4 linked regions of the Arabidopsis thaliana genome follow. The protein of the gene in region 1 interacts with the protein of each later gene in a pairwise test. Each region holds a gene or a part of one and is shown on either strand. Other genes may lie near its edges. The genes, in order: MOS14, RS2Z33, RAN-1 and SR34.

What was found.
Region 2: the proteins of MOS14 (region 1) and RS2Z33 interact in a two-hybrid assay, tested with the Arabidopsis thaliana proteins (one study listed by BioGRID).
Region 3: the proteins of MOS14 (region 1) and RAN-1 interact in a two-hybrid assay, tested with the Arabidopsis thaliana proteins (one study listed by BioGRID).
Region 4: the proteins of MOS14 (region 1) and SR34 interact in a two-hybrid assay, tested with the Arabidopsis thaliana proteins (one study listed by BioGRID).

Annotation. Positions count from the first base shown.
Region 1 is NC_003076.8:25,129,229-25,135,103, reverse strand, and holds the start of MOS14 (ARM repeat superfamily protein), read left to right. Parts: upstream 1-2,387; 5' UTR 2,388-2,630; coding exon 2,631-2,753; intron 2,754-3,323; coding exon 3,324-3,401; intron 3,402-3,492; coding exon 3,493-3,555; intron 3,556-3,781; coding exon 3,782-3,829; intron 3,830-3,916; coding exon 3,917-4,063; intron 4,064-4,542; coding exon 4,543-4,674; intron 4,675-5,064; coding exon 5,065-5,105; intron 5,106-5,387; coding exon 5,388-5,479; intron 5,480-5,875. Other genes in the region: AT5G62610 (basic helix-loop-helix (bHLH) DNA-binding superfamily protein), read left to right, coding at 504-803, 1,119-1,325, 1,408-1,473, 1,555-1,623, 1,695-1,772, 1,862-1,987. UniProt on the Arabidopsis thaliana protein: Functions as a nuclear import receptor for serine-arginine rich (SR) proteins. Regulates nuclear import of SR proteins that are required for proper splicing of the two resistance (R) genes SNC1 and RPS4, a crucial step for their functions in plant immunity.
Region 2 is NC_003071.7:15,669,647-15,675,396, forward strand, and holds RS2Z33 (arginine/serine-rich zinc knuckle-containing protein 33), read right to left. Parts: upstream 3,055-5,750; 5' UTR 2,980-3,054; exon of another isoform or gene 2,795-2,979; intron 2,693-2,794; 5' UTR 2,686-2,692; coding exon 2,579-2,685; exon of another isoform or gene 1,955-2,578; coding exon 1,915-1,954; exon of another isoform or gene 1,832-1,914; coding exon of another isoform or gene 1,775-1,831; coding exon 1,679-1,774; intron 1,574-1,678; coding exon 1,386-1,573; intron 1,307-1,385; coding exon 1,211-1,306; intron 1,072-1,210; coding exon 726-1,071; 3' UTR 527-725; downstream 1-526. Other genes in the region: ALS3 (aluminum sensitive 3), read left to right, coding at 1-133, 212-526; ABCG2 (ABC-2 type transporter family protein), read right to left, coding at 3,909-5,750.
Region 3 is NC_003076.8:6,757,929-6,763,398, forward strand, and holds RAN-1 (RAS-related nuclear protein-1), read left to right. Parts: upstream 1-2,165; 5' UTR 2,166-2,435; coding exon 2,436-2,438; intron 2,439-2,589; coding exon 2,590-2,659; intron 2,660-2,881; coding exon 2,882-2,938; intron 2,939-3,025; coding exon 3,026-3,143; intron 3,144-3,401; coding exon 3,402-3,819; 3' UTR 3,820-4,402; downstream 4,403-5,470. Other genes in the region: AT5G20000 (AAA-type ATPase family protein), read left to right, coding at 74-136, 219-382, 741-897, 1,009-1,107, 1,292-1,402, 1,482-1,622; RAN2 (RAS-related GTP-binding nuclear protein 2), read left to right, coding at 4,889-4,891, 5,018-5,087, 5,428-5,470. UniProt on the Arabidopsis thaliana protein: GTP-binding protein involved in nucleocytoplasmic transport. Required for the import of protein into the nucleus and also for RNA export. Involved in chromatin condensation and control of cell cycle.
Region 4 is NC_003070.9:623,944-630,676, forward strand, and holds SR34 (RNA-binding (RRM/RBD/RNP motifs) family protein), read left to right. Parts: upstream 1-2,695; 5' UTR 2,696-2,885; intron 2,886-2,969; 5' UTR 2,970-2,974; coding exon 2,975-3,061; intron 3,062-3,156; coding exon 3,157-3,222; intron 3,223-3,364; coding exon 3,365-3,439; intron 3,440-3,538; coding exon 3,539-3,671; intron 3,672-3,757; coding exon 3,758-3,804; intron 3,805-3,891; coding exon 3,892-3,949; intron 3,950-4,026; coding exon 4,027-4,076; intron 4,077-4,168; coding exon 4,169-4,225; intron 4,226-4,302; coding exon 4,303-4,526; intron 4,527-4,833; coding exon of another isoform or gene 4,834-4,855; exon of another isoform or gene 4,856-4,991; coding exon of another isoform or gene 4,992-5,052; exon of another isoform or gene 5,053-5,344; coding exon 5,345-5,378; intron 5,379-5,474; coding exon 5,475-5,551; intron 5,552-5,636; coding exon 5,637-5,640; 3' UTR 5,641-6,050; downstream 6,051-6,733. Other genes in the region: LEA3 (Late embryogenesis abundant 3 (LEA3) family protein), read right to left, coding at 1-191, 288-361; AT1G02830 (Ribosomal L22e protein family), read right to left, coding at 1,202-1,349, 1,430-1,665; BGLU11 (beta glucosidase 11), read left to right, coding at 6,626-6,733.

The sequences.
Region 1 (5,875 bases):
TGTCCTTTGGTGTATTTAAGTTGTTCACAGTAAAATTACCAAAGTTGTTCACAGTAAAAAATAATTTAATCAAAGGATAACTAAAAGACATAATTGTGAGATTTTTATTTTTTATTTTTGATAGAAATTATTTAGGTTATTGCGCCATAATATATCTTTTCTATTCAATTTTGTTTCTAAACGAAACGAAAATTTTACCATTGTAATATTTTTTTTATAACAGAAACGGCAAAATATTTGATGTAAGCTGTGTAATTAATGAGATTTTCTGAAAGTATTGGTGATAAATCATCTTCCATTGCATACTAGTGGCGCATTATCACTACCCACATCTGTCTTACCTTCTCCGATCTCTCTCTCTATTTGTCCACCTCACACACAACCCTATAAACAAGACAAGACCTCGCAAAGCTCAAACCTTTTCCTTCTTTTTTTCTATCAAGTTCCTCACTTCTCGGATCCGGGTCCTAAATCTGGGTCAACCCTTTTTACGATCATCGGAAATGGACCCTCCACTAGTGAACGATTCCTCCTTCTCTGCAGCTAATCCTTCTTCTTACACTCTCTCCGAGATTTGGCCTTTCCCTGTAAACGACGCCGTTCGCTCTGGTCTCCGTTTAGCTGTTAACTCCGGTCGAGTCTTTACTCGCTCTGAACATTCCGGCAATAAAGACGTCTCCGCGGCTGAGGAATCTACAGTCACCGATCTAACTGCTGGCTGGGGAAGTAGAAAGACTAGAGATTTGAACTCTGAGGATGATTCTTCAAAGATGGTTTCTTCCAGCAGCAGTGGTAATGAATTGGTGAGATTTTGCACTTCAATTTTTGAAAAGTCCTGATTTTTATTTGTTGGGTCTTTTGAATGTTTGAATCTAGATCCTTTAGCTTGGTGGTGATCTAAAAATCAATGAGTCAAAGTTTAAGTCTTTGGTTTAGGGATCAAGGATTAGTTTATAGATTAGATGACTTATCTCCATTGACTTTTTGACTTAAGTTGGATTCAGCTTGAAGACCATTAGTTTGATAGATGTTGGAATGGTCAATGCTTACTTAGTGATCTTAGATTGAGAGTTTGATTTAGGATCTTAAAGCTTTCCATCTGTTTACTTTTTTAATAGAAAGAATCAGGGGATAAGAAAAGAAAACTGTGTGGATCTGAAAGTGGAAATGGAGATGGTTCGATGAGACCTGAAGGCGAAACAAGTTCGGGTGGTGGTGGAAGCAAAGCAACGGAACAGAAGAACAAACCTGAGCCACCAAAGGATTATATTCATGTGAGAGCAAGAAGAGGACAAGCTACTGACCGGCATAGTTTAGCAGAGCGAGTAATTCTTCTGCTAAAATCACCATAAATTTTATCCTCAAAAACTGTTCCTTTTATTAGAATCACAATGTTGTCTTTGACAGGCTAGAAGAGAAAAGATCAGTGAGAAGATGACAGCTCTTCAAGATATAATTCCAGGATGTAATAAGGTACATGTTCTTTTGGTCCCTGCTTGTGAATGATGTTATTATAGCCTAAAAAACATTCAACAAGATATTTCTGTTGATCAGATAATCGGAAAAGCCCTTGTGCTCGATGAGATTATCAATTATATTCAGTCATTGCAGCGGCAAGTTGAGGTAAAAGTCGTTAACACCTCTCTGTTATATGTTACAATTATACATGCCTAAGCATGGAGTTTGGTCTGCAGTTTCTATCAATGAAGCTAGAAGTTGTTAACTCGGGTGCAAGTACTGGTCCGACAATAGGAGTTTTTCCTTCCGGTGATGTAAGTCCCAAATCTAAAAGAACATAGAAAAATCTTATCTTTCTTAATCAAAGCTACTAAATCTAAAAGCTCTTGGTGTGTTGTATCAGCTCGGGACTTTACCGATTGACGTTCATCGAACAATATACGAGCAACAAGAAGCTAATGAAACCCGAGTATCTCAACCGGAGTGGCTCCATATGCAGGTTGATGGGAACTTTAACCGAACCACATAAAAAAGAGTCTTTCTCTGATTGATGGATGTGTTTTGTAGGCAGTAAAAATGAATGCAACCCTTTATTTTTTATCCTATGCGTGTGTATCATTTTGCTGTTATATCATAAGATAGAATATGAGAGTGACCAGAGAGATTAACACTTTATAAAACATTGTTGTATTGTCCTATTATATAACTTGTAACAATTGATTCAGTAACATATGTTGGTCTTAAATCTTGTCCTTTGTATAATCTTTATGTTATGATGAATCAATGATACGTTTTTTTTGTTGTCTTCAATTTATTGCAACAACTGAAAAAAAGTAAACAACTTCTGTCTTCAAAATAAAAGAAGAAGGATTTGACTTTAAGTCAAAGTAATTGTATCTAACGGCTGAGATTCTCTCTTCTTCATCCTCTTTCAGATCAAAATTCGATCTCTATCTCTCTTCCTCACTCAAGTTGAGGGGCGCCAAAAAAAAACCTTTTTGACAAAGAGGGAAAAAAAAAGTTTTTATTTTTATTGTTTTTGTTGGGCGAAATCGATTTGACAAAATCCCGAATTTCAGTTGGGCAAATTCTTCTATTTCTCAATCTGGGTCTTTCTCTCTGGTCGTGATTTGGTGACCGTACGAGCGAATAACGCGTAAAGATTCATAGCTATGGAGCATCAGAACGCGGTCAAAGAAGCCCTAAACGCACTGTATCATCACCCGGATGATACAGTGCGTGTGCACGCTGATCGCTGGCTTCAGAACTTCCAAGGAACTCTCGATGCTTGGCAGGCGAGTTTTTTCTTTTCGATTTCAATTATTTAATCTCGATTTGTTTAGGTTCGATTTGTTCTTCCTTGTTTTGTAGCACTTGTGCTAGAGTTTAATGTTCGATTTTCAGCTACTGTAGACCATATAGGTGCATAAAGTTTCATCCTTTAGTCAATTTGTATTAGTGATTTGCTCTTTAAGGTCATATAGGCTTATGCATAGCAGAAATCTCAAAATTTCAGTACGTCTAAGTTCATTTCTGAGTTACTTTAGACTATATAAGTGCATAAATTTTCATCCTTTAGTCAATTTGTATTAGCGATTCGCTTGTTAAGGTCATATAGGCTTATGCATAGCAGAAATCTCGAATTTTCAGTACATCTAAGTTCAATTGTGCACTTTTTCCTGTAGCTGGTTTGAGAAGTATGTGTAAGGTGTGTGAATAGATTTACCTTGTTAGAGAAACGATTAGCTAGGTTTTATATGAGCTCTTTTCTTTTAGACCCATGATTGTTGTTGCGGAGAAGAGGATTTTTTTTGATGGAGAAGTTCTACAATATTTCTTACTCTGTGCTGTTGTATGTTTTCTAGGTTGCGGATAATTTACTTCATGATTCTTCTAGCAATTTGGAAACTTTGATATTCTGTTCTCAGACCCTTCGAAGCAAGGTAAATGCACCTGAATGTTTCTGTAAATCCTTATTCATTTATCACACAATCTTGGAGCATTCTGGTGACATCTAGTCTGTCTCACTCGAAGGTTCAACGAGATTTTGAAGAACTACCACCTGGGGCTTTTCAGAAGCTACGGCAATCATTAACGGTAATTCTTTGTTCTATTAACTATTTCTTCCAAAGTTGTAGGGTTTCATGAGTTATTCATTAGTATGTCTGTTCCTTTGAGCAATAACATAATAGGAAAACTCAGTTGAACTAGAGTATTCTGGGATCTAGGTTTTACTATGATTTCATCTTTCTGGCCTATTATTCTTGGTATTGGACAATTACTTCCCGGAAAATTTTGACTTTCATTATTTTCTCAAATGCAGACATTGTTAAAAAAGTTCCACAAGGGCCCTCCAAAAGTTAGGACCCAGGTAAGTGCATATGTGGAATTTTCTGTTGTGCGTATAAAGTCATGTACTTTGTGTCGAGTTATCTTATTTAAGTATTTTATATTGTAGATTAGCATTGCTGTTGCTGCCTTGGCGGTGCATGTTCCTGCGGCAGACTGGGGAGATGGTGGTATAATTAGCTGGCTTAGGGATGAGATGCATATGCATCCTGAATATGTGCCTGGTTTCTTGGAACTCTTGACAGTTTTGCCCGAGGTAGAGTATTTTTTATTCCTTTGTTTAAGTGTTCATCTCACTCAGTAATTAATTTGACTTCATGTATCCGGCTATATAGATATGAAAGGCCTTATTTTGGTCTGACTTGGATCTTCTTACTTATTATTTATGCTGGTATTACTGACCTCAAATTGGGTAGACCTATTTGGAGAATATTCTGTTCCTTTTTTACTTTTTCCATATCTATGTTTAGGTAGCATTCGACGTTACTCTGTGAGTGTTATTTCAATCCCTAAAGTATTGGCTGGGCAAGACCTTGATATTTTGTATGGTATTGTTTGCAAAAAATGTTGGTAGTTTATTTGTAACTAAATGAAGATTCTAATTTTTTCACAAATCTCTACCACATCGTTTGACCTTTCCCTTTCATTAACTTGATTCACTTTAGGAATGTTTAGCTTTAATCTAGATGGTTATATGATGTCTTGATCTTATATTGTCCTTCTTGCTATGACCAGGAAACATTTAACTACAAAATAGCTGCTCGTCCGGATCGACGACGTCAATTCGAAAAAGAGCTTACTTCTCAAATGGAAGCTGCACTTAGTATCTTATCAGCATGTTTGAAAATATCCGAACTTAAGGAACAGGTCAGAGCTTATCTTTAATATAGAGTCGTGACATAGTTCAGTACATAGTTTGTTATTCACTTTCCATGATCCCTCTGTATAACACATCAAAATAACCTTCTTCTTTTTATGTTTTCTGATGCATGTCTGTTTTTTTACTTTCCACTAGTTTTTACTTTCTTTACCAGTCAGAGTCTATGTTTGCCTTGTCAAAACATATTTGCTAGTTTTAGGTAAAAGCTTGATTACATCTTAGGTTTTCACTCACCTGCCAAAATTTAATATGTCTTCTTGCATTATTGTTAGCTTCTGAAAAATGTCCCATGTTCCTGTGTGTTGGACCAGCTAGTGTTTTTGGTGTTGCAAGAAGTCACTTATTGTCAATTGTGTTCTGTAATTTTGATTTTTCAGGTTCTCGAGGCATTTGCTTCTTGGCTCCGTCTTAGGCATGGGTATGCTCTTTTCTTTTGCTTTTCTATCTCCAGTTTTATTTAGAACAAAAGCTCGTCTAGATTACAAATATTCATTGCGAGTTCGTCAGGTTGTAAATTGTTTTAATATATGGGTCATAGATTTTGTCCTATATAGAATCATCTTAGACACAAAGCTAAGTTTATCTGATTTGTTGCTGTTGGTTTCTACTTGCTATCCTTCTTTATTTTCACCAATTCAACTTAGCAACGATGATACTGACTGAACTGTATACTGGTGAACTTTGGGGTGGTCTTTTTCAGGATTCCTGGAACAGTGCTTGCCTGTCATCCATTGGTGCATGCAGCTCTCTCAAGTTTGAACTGTGATCCACTATCAGAGGCATCTGTTAATGGTATACTAGTTGGAAAAGCTAATATATACATAGGCCTTTAGAGTCTTGGGATACTTCACATTGATATATTTTTCCCCGTAAATTGAAATATCTTTACTGAATAGAGACTATTTATGGATGAGTTATTTTGTGATATCTTCTGGTATTGGAACACTATGGGAGCTGCGAAATTTCTAGCATACCTGTTATCTCTTAGTTGGAATATGCGAAGTTCGAGAATTTGCAAATTGAGCTTCTAGAAATTGGTTATTAAGCTTTTCTTGTTGAATTTTGGAAATTAGTGTTTGATGTGTGTTGGGTGTATACTGCATTGCCTTAAGATGGTTTTTTCACCTTCATTATAATGAGCAGGAATTTTTTTGTTCTTTATCAAATAGAAAATAGCCTTCTATTAGT
Region 2 (5,750 bases), on another chromosome or scaffold:
CCTCCTCAACGTCTTTCCTTTCACTCCGAGGTATATGATCCCAATCGCCGGAATGTTGGTCGGAAATGCCATGACCGTCACCGGAGTTACCATGAAACAGCTTCGAGATGACATCAAAATGCAACTCAACCTGGTAAAAAAAACTATAACCAAACCAAATTCCCGGTTTAATTAGATTTTCCGGTTTATTTGATTTTGTCGTGAACCGTAGGTGGAGACGGCATTGGCACTAGGAGCAACGCCAAGACAAGCGACGTTGCAACAGGTGAAGAGAGCACTAGTGATCTCTCTGTCTCCGGTTTTAGATAGCTGCAAAACCGTTGGATTGATCTCTCTACCAGGCGCAATGACTGGTATGATAATGGGCGGGGCGTCGCCTCTAGAAGCTATTCAGCTTCAGATAGTAGTCATGAACATGATGGTAGGAGCAGCTACGGTTAGTAGCATCACGTCTACTTATCTTTGTTGGCCATCTTTCTTCACTAAAGCTTACCAGTTACAAACTCATGTCTTCTCCTCAGATTGAAACTTTTATAAATCCTTATAACAATCTTCGAAAACTTGTCCAAAAGAAACGCAACAACATTATGTCTCAAATGAAAAAACTCTTGGTAACATGAAACTTAAAAGGTTCTAAAGCAAACACACTTAAAAGAGAAAGGAACAGTCGATCCAATAGTATACATGCTACAATGCCTGCAAGCCGTGGCCATGAGCCATCAAAGTTAAGGAGACTCACTTCCTCTAGGGGAAGTGCGGTTTGGCTCGTAATCATCATCAACAGGGCTCCGGTCCTCTTTCGAACTGTCACCACCGGCTCCTACAACAGGACTGACAACAGAGTTTCTGCCATTGTCTTGGGGGCTACCACCGTCACGGTCAGATCCGACTTCCTTTTGAAGCTTTGGTGATGGTGGTGGGCTCCCGTCTATGATCTTTGGGCTGCCTTCATCATCAAGAACCGGACTACGATCTCTGGCTCTTGGCGATAGAGAGTCATCCATCCGCTTTGGACTGCGTGATCTCTCCTCCACACTCCTCTCTCTTCTTCTCACCGGGGATCGTGATCGGCTGACCATAAGGAAAATAAGAAGTCAATCAGAGAAAGCAGTTACTCGGATTCATGCTTTCAGGTTCATACATAAATCTAATGCATGTAAACACCTAAACATAAACCAAAATTTTGAAGTTTACACGGGCAAATACTAACCTGTAGCTTCGGCTACGGCTAAGACTCCGGCTTGGGCTTCTTCTACGACGAGGAGAACGGGATCTTACAGGTGACCTGGAGTAGCTTCCACTGCGCCTGCCATACAATCCAAGAAAGGGAGATGAGAAAGTGGAAAGAATAACAAAAAATGCACTTCTGAAAGAAATGTTAGTACCTAAGCTTCTTGGGGCTGTTTTTGCAGTTTCTCTCAATGTGTCCTCTCTCTCCACAACGGTAACACTTGTTCTTCCAGTCCCCTGCTGTGCAGTCACGAGCCCAATGACCATCTACACCACAGTTAAAACAGCGACCAGCTCCAGGTGGTGGGCCTCTGCTATCAAAATCCCGAGAACCACGAGGTGCCTATCATACAAACATAATATTGATTTCTAATGAGTTTGGCAAACACATTCAACCATACCTATAAACAAATGATAGAGCCTGAAAATAGAGAGCCAAACAACTCACCCCTCGTGAAAACTCCACAGTGATGCGACTTCCATCAAAGTCTCGTCCGTCCAGGTAATGTCTTGCATCATCAGCATCACGGGGATCACCAAATTCCTGATTTCGAAAATGTGAGGACAAAAGAGACCACATGCATGGTGTGTTTTCCCACATTATACATTGGTTCCGACTAAAAAACGTACTACATGACTTTTTCAAGAAATCGAAAGCTCAGGTTAAAAGGAGATTTTACTTACAACGAAAGCATAATCTCGCTTCATATCCACATCTCGCACTCTGCGGAAGAAATTGTTGGCAGAAAAGTAAGGCCATCATTACTTTAAGGTACTTCTAAACACCATTTTTGAGACTGAGTCTCCATTTCCATCAAAACACATTAAAAAATTCTACAAACAGAATCGCCAAGGCGCCCTGTCCCCTAAACACTTGGCGAGAATTTCCACCAAGTCCACCCACTCATCAAACACCTCCAGGTTAGGCAAAATCCCAGAGACCTTCAATAAGATCATTCAAGTTAAAAACATACACTAATGACTAAACCTAGTTCCACAACTTTCCCTCAAGAACACAAATATCAAAATACAGAACCAAAACTATGCCCCTCGATGCTTAATGACGACTTTCTGCATCTCTCCCTCGCACTAACAATTTTCATAACCAAGATATATAGAAAGGCGCATGAAGACTCTCATTTAACTAACCCCAACACATAGAAATCAATATGTCAAGATAAAGAAGCATTATGCTCCTCGATACTTTTAACTTTCTGCAATTGTTTCCTCGCACAATAGCAATTTACGTACTATATAACTAGAAAAATCACATTGAGACCATCATTTATTCCAATTACCGAGAAATCAAAATACTTCGTCCATAATCATAGATAGAAGAGTCAATTACCTTCCGTATCTGCTAAAAAGACGTTCAAGGTCTCGGGTCCTAGTTCTCGATGATAATCGGCCAACGTAAAGACGAGTGTTCCCATAGCGATCATCATAGCGAGGCATTGTCAAGCTACAAAATCAAAAAAAAGGGACAAAGAAACCACAGATTTTTGAGCATAACCTGTTAGAAACTATAAAACAAGAACGTAACAAAAATTCACTAACTCAAGACCTATAAAAAAGCCCCAAAGAAGACGCCATTTAGTTAATTCAGAGACAAGGAAGCGATAAATCGGAAAGACAGAAGCTAAGGAAACCATCACCGCAGATGCATCGAACCAATATAAAATCGTAATTCCGAGCAGTGAAAGCACTAAATTTCAATATGAATCATCGAATTGAGCAGAGTTTCGATACCTGGGGATTGAAGGAGAGCACTGCGAAACACGGAAGCCCTAATTTCGGAAGGAAAGGGGAAGAACAGCGTAAGGTAGCTAAAGTATGGTTTTCAAGTGTTTATAAATGGGCTTCAGACGCTGACAGAAAAAAACAAAAATGGGCTTCAGACAGAACCGACTAAATCCAACGGTAATAATTTGGTGTTGTGTCCTAAACCAACGGTAAATATCTTTAAAAAGAGATAAGAATCGATGTTGCCATATTCACCATTTTGCAATCTGTTGGGCCTTATATTAATAAGGCCCATTTAATTTGTGTAAATTGTAAAATAAGAATGGTGGTTTACAAATTGCAAGTTTTGTATGTCTCGGTATTCTTCTATGTTGCACACTCTGATCACATTTGCTTAAAGACTAATAGTAATGAGTTATCCAGACTAAACTATATATCTAGTTATGCAAATTCATTATAACAAATTGGATCCTCTAATCTTTAAAAACTTACAACATCTAAAAGTGATCAGATTTGTTATGACATCTATCTATTTATGCATAGTTTATGACATCTATCTTCTACCTTCTAGGATAAATTTTACCGTTTACCAATTCATGTTATAAACTATTCTTTGATGAACAAATCAAAGTCCGCCTATAATCCTATTTTGTTATTAAAGAAATACTAATAGCAATTAGCTTAGATTTTTATTTTCTGTTTTTTTTTTAACATTTAGCATTTTTTTTTCCTAAAGCACTTTCATTTTTTACAGAATAAAAAGAATGAAGATATATAAATATCACCGGTATTTTTCATTTCATAAATTATGACTTTATTATTCTTTAATTAATCGATTAAATATAGCAAGGACATACAATTATATAATTGAAAGAAAAAGGAAACAAAATTACAACAAACCTTTTTTCAAAAAAAAAAAAAGAACAACTGTTTAATCACTTCCGTTTGTTCTTGCTACCAATCAAGAGAGTGAAATAAAACAAAACCCTAAAGAAAAAACCCCAAGCAACAGTAATCCACAAACAATTCCATTTACTAATATCCGTAATCCCTTGCTGTTTCAAAATATCAATCCCCGTCGTCACACAAGTCTCCGCCGTCACATTCGTCCCCAATACACCGCTCATACTCTTCAACAGATTCACTTTCACATCGTTCGGAAACTCCCCCAACGGCGAATTGTCGAATAACTGAACTCCTCTGGCGAAACATCTCGTCGGATTTTGAAATTCGTTCTGCAACACTCCTTCGTAAGGGTATTTCACCAAGGAGATGTAATGGAACCAGAGCCAGTAAACAGGAATTCGATCTCGAGAGATGAAGAATCCGGAGAAGAGGAGGAAGTAAGCGAGGATCGCTACTACGACTGTGAATCCGAGCATTACGTTTGGTATAACGCCGGAGAGGAACGTTACGAAGGAGCTTCCTGCCCAAAATGAGGCTAGGATTGTGAAGTAGAAGAAGAAGAAACCATTGGCGCCTCCGTCGAGACCAACGGCCCAGAATGTTGTGGCGGCGAAGCTTGCGGAGAGGACGATTAAGGCCGGGATTGAGATTATGGATTGAGAGAGGACGTAGGAGGATCTCCGGTAAGCGTTGTAAGCTGTTTCTCTCATGAATATGTAACGTTCTTGTAGAAAGACTGGGATTGCTTCTGCACATGTGTAGAATGTTGTTGACATTGCGAATGCGAAGAATCCTAAACGTTCTTGTGCTCCTTTTGGGGAATTGTCTAGGTTAGTGAACATTGTAGCTAGGATGATTCCGGTGACCATTACAGCTCCTAGTCTCATTCCGAGGAGTTCTGGTTGTCTTCTTGAGTTTAATATAGCACGTTTGCCTATTACTATCATTTCAATCCAGAAAGGATTGGCGAATGTTTGGAATGATGGTGTTAGGTTTGATGAGTTGTTGTTCGTTGCTCCAGAGACGAGTTTCCCTCTTGAGATACTCGCGGTTATCGCTTCTTTGAGAGAAGATACGTTGGTGTTTCTCTTGTTATTGTTGTTGTAGCTTGGTGCTTGCTTTGCTCGCCATTGCTTGTGGAACTCGACAAGTGGCTTGGTTCCTTCTGTAGAATATTCCAGCTCTCGGATGAGATCGAGAGCGAACTCTGTTTTGTTCTCGTTTTCAGGAATTGGGTGCTTGAATTCTGAGAAGAACTGAGGGAGATGTGTTGGTGAGCCGCTGTAGACTGTGTTTCCCTTAGAAAGGAAGATTAACTGATCTAGAAGACCCATGATTCTGTAACTAGGCTGATGGATTGACATGATAACTATGCTGCCACTTTGTGCGATTCTCTGAAGGACTTTGATAACCATGTAGGCGCTTGTAGAGTCGAGCCCTGAGGTTGGCTCATCTAGAAAGAGGATGATTGGGTCATGGATTATGTCGTTTCCAATTGATACCCGTCTCCTTTCTCCTCCAGACACTCCTCTGTGGCCTTCATCACCAATCACGGTTTTTGCAGCGCTCCTTAGGCCTAATTGGTCAATCAGAGCTTGAACCCTTGCTTTCTTCTTCTTCTTGGAGAGTGAACGAGGGAGCCTGAACTCTGCAGAGAACATTAGAGTTTCCTCCACGGTAAGCATCGGGAAGAGAAGGTCGTCTTGCATCACGTAAGCCGATATGACTTTCTGCATGCTTGATTCAAGAACTTCTCCGTTTAAGGTAATGGATCCCCTGAGGCTATCTTTTGCGATCCGGTTGGCTAATGCATCGATCAGTGTTGATTTACCGGACCCACTTGCTCCAAGAACCGCCATCATCTCCCCTTC
Region 3 (5,470 bases), about 18 Mb from region 1:
AGAAACAAACGATACTAAAAGTCACTGGTTTCATGCTTTTAAATTTTATATAATATCTTTACTGGTTTATCAGGTCATTGAACTGCCAATCAAGCATCCTGAATTGTTTGAGTCTCTTGGAATTGCGCAGCCAAAGGTACACTTGAATTTCAAAGCTTATCTATATTGTGACGCTGCTAAGTGGATTTCGAACTGATTGCTTCTCCCTCTCTTTTAAGGGTGTGTTGTTGTACGGTCCACCTGGAACTGGGAAGACACTATTGGCTCGGGCTGTGGCACATCACACTGACTGTACTTTCATCAGAGTTTCTGGTTCTGAGCTGGTCCAGAAATACATTGGAGAAGGTTCTAGAATGGTCAGAGAACTTTTTGTGATGGCAAGGTTTGTACATGCTAGTCCTTATTTAATATTTCAAGCATGGTAAAAGTGGTAGGTTGGAAAAGATGGAACTTTTGACACGATAAATCTTTTACATGCCCGTGCTTAGTAGCTGTAGTGGACATGTGGAGTAAAATAAATTGAGTAAATTGTTCTCTGTTCCTGCTATGAATATGGTTTCAACATGTATACGATCTCAAGCATAATGATCTTTACAAGTAGTCTCGATGCCTAGCATTTAGGCCACAGTAATAGTCTTTTGTAATGAGCAAAGTATACACCATTAATCATCTTCATTGTGCTGAAAAATACTTATTCCAGCTAGCTTACCTTTCTAGTACCTCTGGCTTATGGTTTTCAGGGAGCATGCACCATCAATCATCTTCATGGATGAAATCGATAGTATCGGGTCTGCTCGTATGGAATCTGGTAGTGGAAATGGTGACAGTGAGGTGCAAAGGACTATGCTTGAGCTTCTCAATCAACTTGACGGATTCGAGGCGTCAAACAAAATCAAGGTATGCCTTATGTTGTGAATGAAAAAATAGTCATGAAGCTGAAAAGGATAACTCTGTGTTACTCTGAATTTCGCAGACAAAGTTGTTAATTCTCTTAAATGACTGTTGCAGGTTTTGATGGCTACAAATCGTATTGATATTCTGGATCAAGCTCTTCTCCGGCCTGGAAGGATTGATAGGAAAATTGAATTTCCTAATCCTAATGAAGAGGTAATGCTTGTGTTTCTTAGGACATGATATTAGAAATAACTTTAAACTTGAAGTAGCAACTTTGCTCACTCCGTTGTTTTTGGTAAACTATCATTTACTGCGTAAAATACTTTTCTCCATACTTATTGTACCCAAAGTGAGGCAGGACGGTTTGGCTAATGTATATTTCTAATATGTGTTGCAGTCACGTTTTGATATCTTGAAGATACACTCAAGGAAAATGAATTTGATGCGTGGAATCGATCTGAAAAAGATTGCAGAGAAGATGAATGGTGCTTCAGGTGCTGAGCTGAAGGTAAGTGTTTCTCTGTCCCTGCTTCTGTCTTGTTCTCTCCAATCTGTCTCTCTCTAATGTTTTTGGTTATTACGGTCAGGCTGTATGCACGGAGGCGGGCATGTTTGCACTTCGTGAGAGGAGAGTACATGTGACTCAGGAAGACTTTGAGATGGCTGTGGCGAAGGTAATGAAGAAAGACACAGAGAAGAACATGTCTCTGCGTAAGCTCTGGAAGTAGGAATTTCAGAGTCACAGATTAATTTCGATTATTTCTTCTCTACTGTCTGTGGTTCTTTCTGAAACCTTTTCGGCTAGCGCTTTAAGCTTTTCTAAACAATGTTTGTACACTAGTTTCTATTCATTCAAATGGTTGTTCAGCATAACATCTTCGATTCAACCAAGCTTACATTTTACATCTTAAGAGTATATTCTTCTCCAACTCAGTCTCATTAGCTTAAAGAGAAAACCAACTAAAAGATTGTTTGAGACAAAATAATCGACATAGCTTTGTACCTGAGATCCACCGCTGAGGTCAATAGTGAGTGATTTGAATTTGGAGTGTACATTAATTTAGAAATTCAACCCATCTGGCATGTGTCAAGAATAATTTGAAAACTATCCGTTATGAACAATAAAAATCCTTATTGATGAATGGTGTCTATTATTAAAAATTGAGGTATAAATATGATAAAGAAAATAAATAATTTATTTTGTCAAAACCAACGCGTATATATTGTAATGAATTTAATTTCAAAATTTGCTAAATGTGAAAAAAGGAAAGAAAAATCAATGCCGATGAATGAGTACGCGTGGACCTAAAGCTAGAAAAAGATCCAACGGTGGAGAAAGCTGCGTTAAAATTGCAGAAGAACCAAAGAGAAAGAATCCAACGGCCAATAGTGTAGCGTCAACTCAAAGCCAAACCCTCCCAAATTTCTCTTTTAAAAACCCCAATCTCTCTCTCCCTCTCCATCTTCATTCTCCCTCTCGCCGCTTCCTTCTTAACACCATCGCCTGAATTCGCTCTCCTCTAGCTCGCGATTGCGAAAACATGGTACATGTTCTCTTCGATTTTACCGATTTCTTCTTCGTGTATTATCAGATTGTATACCTTGATCTAGGATTATCTCCGTCTCAGATCTCACGAGATTGCGTCGATGTTTCCATGTTCTAGTTTCTAATTTCGTCGTGGATATATTTTTCAGGCTCTACCTAACCAGCAAACCGTAGATTATCCCAGCTTCAAGCTTGTCATTGTTGGTGATGGAGGCACAGGTACGGTACTCTTCGCCGTGTTTTTTTTTATCGATTAATCAATGCTTGGATTTACGTTGATGGTGATTGGGGTGATAGAGATAGGCTCATATGCTAAGCAGATTTTGCTAGTCGACTCTTTATAATCCGTACTGTTGTATCCAGTGGCTCAATTGATTTCAAGTATGGTAATGTGTTTTGATTGTTTTGCTAAACCTTTGATTGCTTTTGGTGGTTGTGCAGGGAAGACTACTTTTGTTAAGAGACATCTTACTGGGGAGTTTGAGAAGAAGTATGAACGTAAGTATTGCTTGTGAATGTTCAGATTTCTGTTCTTCATGTCTCTTAAATGATTCTGATTTTGAGTCGTAATCTTGTTTGTTGCAGCTACTATTGGTGTGGAGGTTCATCCATTAGATTTCTTCACAAACTGTGGCAAGATCCGTTTTTACTGCTGGGACACTGCTGGACAAGAGAAATTTGGTGGCCTTAGGGATGGATACTAGTAAGTGTGGACCCTTTACTTTCTCATTGATAGGTTAGTGTCTAGAGTCAATCTAGAGTGTGCTTAGTTTGGATTAGCTCTGGTTAGGATTTGAAATTGGCAACCGATTAACCTGGACAATGGGTATAAGACTGGTATGTTTTGAAGTATGCATAGTTTGCAACTGATTTTGTTACCTGGACAAATAGAGTAGAACTTGAATTTTAATTTTGATATTCCATCTGGATGTATAGCTAATCATCTTTGAATTTCTTGCAGCATCCATGGTCAATGTGCTATAATAATGTTTGACGTCACAGCACGGCTCACATACAAGAATGTTCCGACATGGCACCGTGATCTCTGCAGGGTGTGTGAAAACATCCCGATTGTTCTGTGTGGGAACAAAGTTGATGTGAAGAACAGGCAAGTGAAGGCAAAGCAGGTTACATTCCACAGGAAGAAGAATCTGCAGTACTATGAGATATCAGCAAAGAGCAACTACAACTTTGAGAAGCCTTTCTTGTACCTTGCTAGAAAACTGGCTGGAGACCAAAACCTTCACTTTGTGGAGACACCAGCGCTTGCTCCACCAGAGGTTCACATTGACATTGCTGATCAGCAGAAGAACGAGGCCGAGCTCTTACAGGCTGCAGCTCAACCCCTCCCCGATGACGATGATGATATCTTTGAGTAAATCATCCTTCTAGAATGTCTGCCGTGGGAAGCTCTTGCTTGTTCCTTTTGGTTTTCTCTATGTTGTTTTGGTGTTACATATAAATCAATCGGTCTTTCTTATAACAAAAATTAGGTATGTATTTTTGGATGGTTCTTCTGATGGTATCCAAAGCTAAGTTGTTTCTTCGCAAGAATATTAGTTGATTGGAAAACTTTATTCTACCTCCTATTACTTGCCAGTTCTTAGATTTCAGATGCCACTCTTTAGCTACCAGGTGATGTCATATAAACCTGGGTAAAATTAGCTGCAAGTAGATCTTGTTGGGAGACCTGACCTGCATTGACAATGGTTAAGTTCTTTGCCTTCCCCGATCTCTCTAGCTTTGCAGATTCTTCTGCAATCCTCTTCCTTTTCTTCTTTGAAACTTGATCTTCTTAATCAATCCGCACCAGAACTTGTAGAATAATAATCGGATAACTTTTTGTTTGGCAACCATTCTTGCATTGAAGAATGAAGTAACCCTTTCCCTCAAATCAACGACCGATTTCAATCCGTGATTCCAGACATTTTCTTCAACCGTGAGCTCTAAGACCAATTTCTGCAAGTTTGAGCTTAAGAATTTATCGATGTGTATATTAATTTCTGGAAATATTGTTGGTATTAATATGTTACCATTAAATTTGAAAGGCATCATTAGATGGATGTCATGTGAGTGAGTACTTGAAATTTTGAAACTATCCGTTACGGACAATAAATCCTTATTTAAATGATTTGTTAGTAAAAAACTATGCTACAAATAAAATCAAAACTTCACATACGATACAGGAAATAAATATATTATTTATTTTGTCAAAACTCAAAACCAGGACCTAAAGCTGAAAAAAAAAAGATCCAACGGTGCAGAAAGCTGCGTAGATATTGGAGAGCCAAAAGATGGAATCTAACGGTGGAAAAAATAGCGTCAAACCTAAGCCAAAACCTCCCAAAATTCTCCTTATTAAAACCCCATCTCTCTCCCTAGTCCCTCTCGCCGCATCGCTTCTTAAACCTCGACGACATCAACGTCTGACTTCGCTTCTCCTCTCACATGGTGAACATTCTCTTCTCTTTTCCCGATTTCTTCGTCTTGTAGTATTTAGATCTCACGAGATCGCTTAATTTCGTTGATGTTTCTTTTTTCGGATTTTACTGAATTTTGTTGTGATATCTTGTTCAGGCTCTACCTAACCAACAAACCGTAGATTATCCTAGCTTCAAGCTCGTCATCGTTGGTGATGGAGGCACAGGTACAGTATTCTTCGCCGTGTTTTTTGACCTATTGTTTTTTGTGATCTCTGAAATTTGATCGTCTTTTCACTGTCCCCATCTGAAAGCATTCTCGTTTAAGAGACGGATTTGAGATTTTGATGATGTGCTGATTAGATTTGTACGATTGGTTTTTGATAATATCAATGTTTGATTGGTTTTAAAGAGAACCTTACAGACTAGGCCTTCGTTGAGCAGATCTTTGGGATATCGATTCTTAGATGATCCGGAATGTTGTTTTCATTGGCTCAGTTTTAGTATGGTTCAATGTTTTTGATTAGTTCTTGCTAAACCTATGATTGCTCTTGGTGTTTTGTACAGGGAAAACGACCTTTGTGAAGAGACATCTTACTGGGGAGTTTGA
Region 4 (6,733 bases), on another chromosome or scaffold:
TGTTCAAGAGAATAGCTCGTAGCTCAGCCGGGTCAATCTCCTCAGAAACGGTTTCCGGTCTGTAATAACCGGTTTTAGGATCTGGAACCCATGGTGCCTTCTCGCTTGAAGCTTCCCCAGCTCTCTTCTTCATCTCCGCGGTCGAAACGCTTCCATCTAACGCCGTTTTGGCTGCGGCGGCAAACCCTCGTCTGAAGAGAATCCAAAATCCAAAACGTCAGCGTTTTGTTAAAGCGACGAGAAAACAGAGCAATACATAACGTTTTTGTTTCAGAAACAGATGTTACCTGAAAACGGCGTTCGAGAGCTTTTCGGAGCCGAAGACGGATTGGATCTTAGCGTTAGCGAGAGAACGAGCCATTGTGGTTTATAGGTTTTACGAGTTTTGGAGAAGAAGAAAAACAGCGCAAAAGAGAAGTTTCTCAGGTTCTTGATCTGATGACTGCTGTTACCTTTTTGCGGCAACGAGATCGAACAAACTTGGTCGTCCTATCTCTCTTGACAGATTTCAAAATGCTTTGCAGGATAGATGAGAAGGAAGAGAGATGAGAGGAGGGTTTATATAGAGGAAGCAGAGCAGATAGGCTGCGTCAATTTAGGCTTTCACCCAAAGTTATTGTTTTCTGTTTCTTTTGATTTTTTTTTTTGGGTTTAGGGTTTTAAAGTTAGTTGTAACTTATAATTAAAATTGTTTTCAAAGTCGTTTTGTATGTAATTAACAACTTGTTTTACTTATCTGGATTTAAAATTAATTAACTCATCTAATATACAAGTATACTATAGTTTGACCAAAACCAATTTTTATCTTCTTTTTTTTGTAGTCAACCGAAAATATAAATGTTCATATATGAAATTACCATATGTACGTATTCATAATGCTCAAAAGAAATTAATGATATATTTAGATATTTTTTTATCTCCTAAATAATTGTGATTGCATATATTTAGATATTTTTTGATCTCCTAAACTAAATTGAGTCGGAACCACTCAATTCTGCCGAACCAACACGGCCTCAAAAAGAGTCGGCCATTTAGTCACTCTTTCTTTCAGAATTTTGAAATGAACTTAGTCCTCATCCTTGTGTCAATTTTAACCACCAAAATCATACGACAGCAAAAACTTGGACAATTAATAAAGATCCGTCCTAAGCAGGAAAAATATAGACCAAGTGTAATTAAAAATGAATGAAGAAGGTCGAGCTTAATCTTCCTCGTAACTAGCTACTTCATCGTCAATCCTGAAGTAGCGTACCTCGTAGACATTTTTGTCTTTGTTAGATGCAATCACTCGTAGCCAATCACGGAGATTGTACTTCTTCAAATATTTCTTTGTCAGATACTTCAAGTACCTGAATTCAAAACCAGATTTTTGCAATTTAAGAGCAAGTTAGGGTTTCTAAAGACGTGTGAGAGAAGAAAAGAAGTTTACCGTTTGGAGAAATTGGAATTGGCGTTGACATTGATCTTTCCATTATATCGGGTGATGGAGACGGAGTTACCAAGAGCACCGGCTTTACCTCTGACCTTGATTCGTTCCTGAAGAAACTTCTCAAGCGTGGCTATCTCCAAGATCGTATCATCAACTGGTTTAGAGCAGTCGATCACAAAAGAAACTCCTTTCTTCTTAGCACCAGCTCCACTCGACTTGGCCCCTACTCGAGCCATCTTCCTACAGAGATTGAATTGAATGAAACTCTCTTGCTTAGATTAGACGTTGGCTCGAAAAGATGAAAATCTTCCCGCGGCGAGGTTAGGGATGGACTATATAAATGACCCACAAGAGTCCCTAGGGTTTTGTTTAGTGTTAGCCCAATGGGCTTCTTAGGCCCAATACTTGGGCTAAGAGCTTGTCTAATTTCTGTTTGATCCGAAATGATATCAAATATTGAACCGGCCTCGGTTCAATTAATCTTTGTTCAACATCAAGAGATATTTGATCACATAAAACCTGTACCGTATTTCATTTCCTAGAGTAGTTATCTCAGCATTTAAAAGATGTGGAGGAAACTATATCAAACACTGGTTTATTCTCTTACAATTGTACAATTATGAATAAAACATCTATACAACTTCTCAAGGCTTTGCGATTTCGCATTGCGACTCGGAAGCAGTTTTTCATCTTAGTGGATGAAAGTCAGTCACCTGAAGAAATAACAGTGCTTTGATCGAATCTATAAGTAAAAGAATGTTATGAGTCATGGAATCAATAGCTTTGTAATCATTCCTTCTGCCTCGACGACATCTATAGTGAGATTTTTTGTCTGACAACTCTTTCTCCTCAGCACAAATCTCCTTGCTTGATTCTGTATCTGCTTAACAAATCAAAAACTTCAAAATCAGATTTCTCTAAGAGCAACAAAGACATATCTCAAGGCAAAAGACTTTTAACTACAAACCAATTCAACAAGGTTCTTACGCCTATAATGAAAGAACAATGTCAAATTTTGGAGAGAACCAACCCTAGTTAGTGATCAAACATGTTTTGCCATATTTGTCTTCCTAAAACTAACCTTACAATTTCTATGTTTGTAGCTGGCTATAATTAAGACGACTGACGGAGAATGACATTACTCGAACAATATAGTCTTAGAAGCATCTCCATAAAGTTGGAATGGTCACAGGCAAATGAACCTATCTAACAACAAGCCAGTTTCGGAGACATGTAATTTTTTTGTTTGTGAGAATTTTTTAAGTTGCTTTCTTTGTAATGTTTTAAGATTTTGATTAAAGCAGATAATTGAAACGTTTCTTCGCCACACTATAGTATATAAAAGGCTCACGTGACTCACGTGACGCTCCCTTATTAACCTATATCGTTCGCCAACTTCGAAACCCTAAATTCCCAAATTGCGGAGGCTGAGAGATCTCAAATCGACGACCAACAGGTGAATTTTCGCTTCCTCTGCTTCAGACATTCTTGATAAAGTTTGAATCTTGACTTTGGACTTGTGTTTTTGGATTTGATAAAGGAAGAATGAGCAGTCGTTCGAGTAGAACCGTGTACGTCGGAAACCTTCCTGGCGATATCCGTGAGAGAGAGGTCGAAGATTTGTTCAGTAAGGTAAAGGATTCGTCTTTATGCTATGTAAACCTTGTTTTCGCTTACACTCGATAATAATAAGTCTCCGTAACATTTATTTCTTCCTTTTGTTTCAGTATGGACCTGTTGTTCAAATTGATTTGAAGGTTCCTCCAAGGCCTCCTGGTTATGCATTCGTTGAGGTCAGCTTACCACCTCTTATTCTTGCAGTGACATGTGTTATGATTCTTGATGTTATTACAGTTTGGCTCTCTGTTGTTATGATTCGAGAATTTGAACTTGTTCTGACTTTTCTTCCTATTTGTGTTTCGTTAATCTGTTTAGTTTGATGATGCTCGGGATGCTGAAGATGCTATTCATGGTCGTGATGGCTATGACTTTGATGGGCATCGTTTGAGGGTTAGTTATTATTACTCGAATTTCAGATATTTAATTACAACTCTTGAGTGTTTTCGGATTGGTTTTCAATCTAATTTAACGAATGTTTGCCTTTTGTAGGTGGAATTGGCGCATGGTGGGAGGCGTTCATCAGATGATACTCGGGGTAGTTTCAATGGTGGTGGCCGTGGTGGTGGTCGCGGCCGTGGTGATGGTGGTAGTCGTGGGCCATCTAGGAGATCAGAGTTTCGTGGTATGTAGTCATATAATTTGCATTATTCTGTCCAAAGTTGTAGGAATTGTTCCTAATTTTACTTGTTTTTCTTTTGTCCACCACAGTTCTAGTCACAGGCTTGCCTTCATCTGCTTCTTGGCAAGATCTCAAGGTGACTTCACACTGGTCAACAAAACTCCTTACTTCCCCTTGTATCTTTAAAGTTTCTGAATTCTAACATGAATCACTTTTACATTAGGATCACATGCGTAAAGGAGGCGATGTCTGTTTCTCGCAAGTGTACCGTGATGCTAGAGGTAATAAGTGTGCCCATATAATCTTGTCCATCGAAAACCAAGTTGAATGGTTTTAATCTTGGACAATCTTACTGTAGGGACAACTGGAGTTGTTGATTACACCTGCTATGAGGACATGAAGTATGCGGTAAGCTATTTTCCCTGTTTCTCTTCTGTGGTTGAGAGTTTGTTCTACTCATCCTTAATCACTGATTAGCTCTCACTCTTGAATTTCCCCAGCTGAAAAAGCTCGACGACACAGAGTTTCGAAATGCGTTTTCGAATGGATATGTCCGGGTTAGTTGAAGCTGACTTTCCTGTGAATTGTGATCTTTTCATTGTTGTGTTTAATATTTTGTTTCATATCTCTTTAGGTTAGAGAATATGATTCAAGGAAGGATTCTAGGAGTCCTAGCCGGGGAAGATCCTATTCTAAGAGCCGCAGCCGCAGCCGTGGACGAAGCGTGAGCCGAAGCAGGAGCAGAAGCAGGAGCAGGAGCAGAAGTCCCAAGGCAAAGTCTTCACGTAGGTCCCCTGCAAAATCTACATCAAGATCTCCTGGCCCCCGCTCGAAGTCAAGGTCACCGTCTCCAAGAAGGTAATGATTTGATTCCTTTTCAGAATGCACCAGGCAACATTACTTAGTCGGTAGATTTTCCTGTGAAGTTTATGAAAATCTGATTAGAAAAGTCATTGTTGATGCTCAAAGTTCTTGTTGATTGAGCATATACTGGTTTTTTGTTGACACCTGCTGTTTGCTCGTCATTATTGTCCCTTCTTACTCCATCCTTATATTTAGATGCTTAGCCCTTTTCTGGTTAAGATTTGCGAGATTGGCCTTACATTTTTAGCATTTTTAAATATGCTCTTTTCTTTCCTGAGAAGAAAATGGTTTTGTTTCATAGATATGGATTTACATACGACTAGAAAATGGAAATTAATATCTGGATGGAAATTGATTGTTGACAAGTGTTTCGTCTAAGAGGTATGGGAAACTTTGGAATAGAGACTTTGCTTTTCGTGGCTTCCTGATATAGTATTCACTAATTTACATTGCTGCTAGATGGATAACAGTGGAGACATTGGATCACTTGGATCACAATATTATATCGGGATTTCTGTAAAACTATATTGGCTCGATGGATTGACAATATGGAATCTGGGTTCTCTTGGGACGTCCGTGGCTCATTTGGCAACACAAGTTTTTTTGGCCACATGGCTTATAAAACCTCTGTCCTATCACCTATGTTTTAACTAAGTAGCAGAATAGTTTGGTTTATGTTTCTTTTTTTTTATTTGTTGCAACTTCTTAATCTCTGTGAGATAGAAGGAGAGGCTCCAGGACCTTGCTGAACAGTATAAAACACAACATGTTTGGATTTTTGAATCTGAGTTTCTTTTCTTGGACTTTTGCAGATCGCGTTCAAGATCAAGATCTCCTCTACCTTCTGTGAGTAACAAGATCCAACTTGTGACCCCTCTTTTATTTTGACATAATCTTCTGTTTTACATTGTTCGTTATCTTAATAGCTTTTCTGTATCACAGGTTCAGAAGGAAGGAAGCAAGAGCCCTAGCAAGCCAAGTCCAGCCAAGAGTCCTATCCACACTAGGAGTCCATCGAGGTACATAATCTTTCTTAGAAATGAAACATTGCAATCTGATTTTGTTTGATAATGCGTAAATCTGAATCTGAGCTCTTGTTTGCAGGTAAAATGGGAGATATCCAGGTGAAAAGAGAAGAGAGAAGCATCTTCTTGCTACTCAAAACAAATTCTACTTTCTTGAAGTGGATTATATCTGAACGCTTATTGACTGTAGAAGATGCGACAAGTTTGATTTGCACTATCATTTTGTAATATTCTTGCCATTCTTCGTCTTCTGGATCCCTTTACTTTTGAGAATGATGTTTTTTTTTGAAGATATCGTTTCTTTTCCCTCCTTCTGATTCATCCTTTTCTTAATTAACTAAAGCTCTCACTTAAACAACGTCGTGTTTAGACCTGATCCGGAATCTGACTGTATAGCCTGAACTGTACGATTCCAGTAACCGGTGAATCTTGTCTGGAGACGTCTGCTTTGAACTTGGTTTTTGTGGTGAACTCAGTCCTTTGTTCGTTTCCCTAATTTCTCATGCTCTTTTGCAATCATATCATGTTCGATTCCATCTTTATAGTTCTATATCCTTGGTATAGTAGTGCCTGATTTGGATTCTCTGTCCTCTTTAGCTTAGAGAGCTATATAAGCCTGAAGACAAAACTTGATTTTATTGGATGATATAGAACATGCAACAAAAGGCAATCAACAATCTCTTTGAAAAGTATTCGCTGCTCATTGAGAGATAATGAAAGTGTCTTTACTTAGAGAGTGTGGTACTATGGTGTTGATCACTCAATATGTTAACATGTGGGTCCAAACAAAAAAATACTAAAGCTAAGGAAACAAACAAAAAGCCTTTTGAAAGCTAATGCTGCTCCCTATTTTCTATATCGTTGGACGATTTGCTCTTTACTTCTTCATCAAACTTGTCAAAACAAGTGGACCCACTCCTAGAAGCAGACGAATGCAGTTCCGTGTTTCAACCAAACTTGTACTTGCTTGTTAAAGTACTTAAATAATCTATCACAAGGGGTTCACCGTTCGTATTTGTTCTTGCTTGCTAAAGTTTTTTTGCTCTGTACGGTGACAAGACCAGAGAGATGAAGTTATTGAGCAATAGTCTAATGTTCCTTCCTCTGCTGGCTTTGGCTTTAACCGCAGTTTCGTCGCTTAAATACAGCAGAAATGACTTCCCTCCAGGCTTTGTC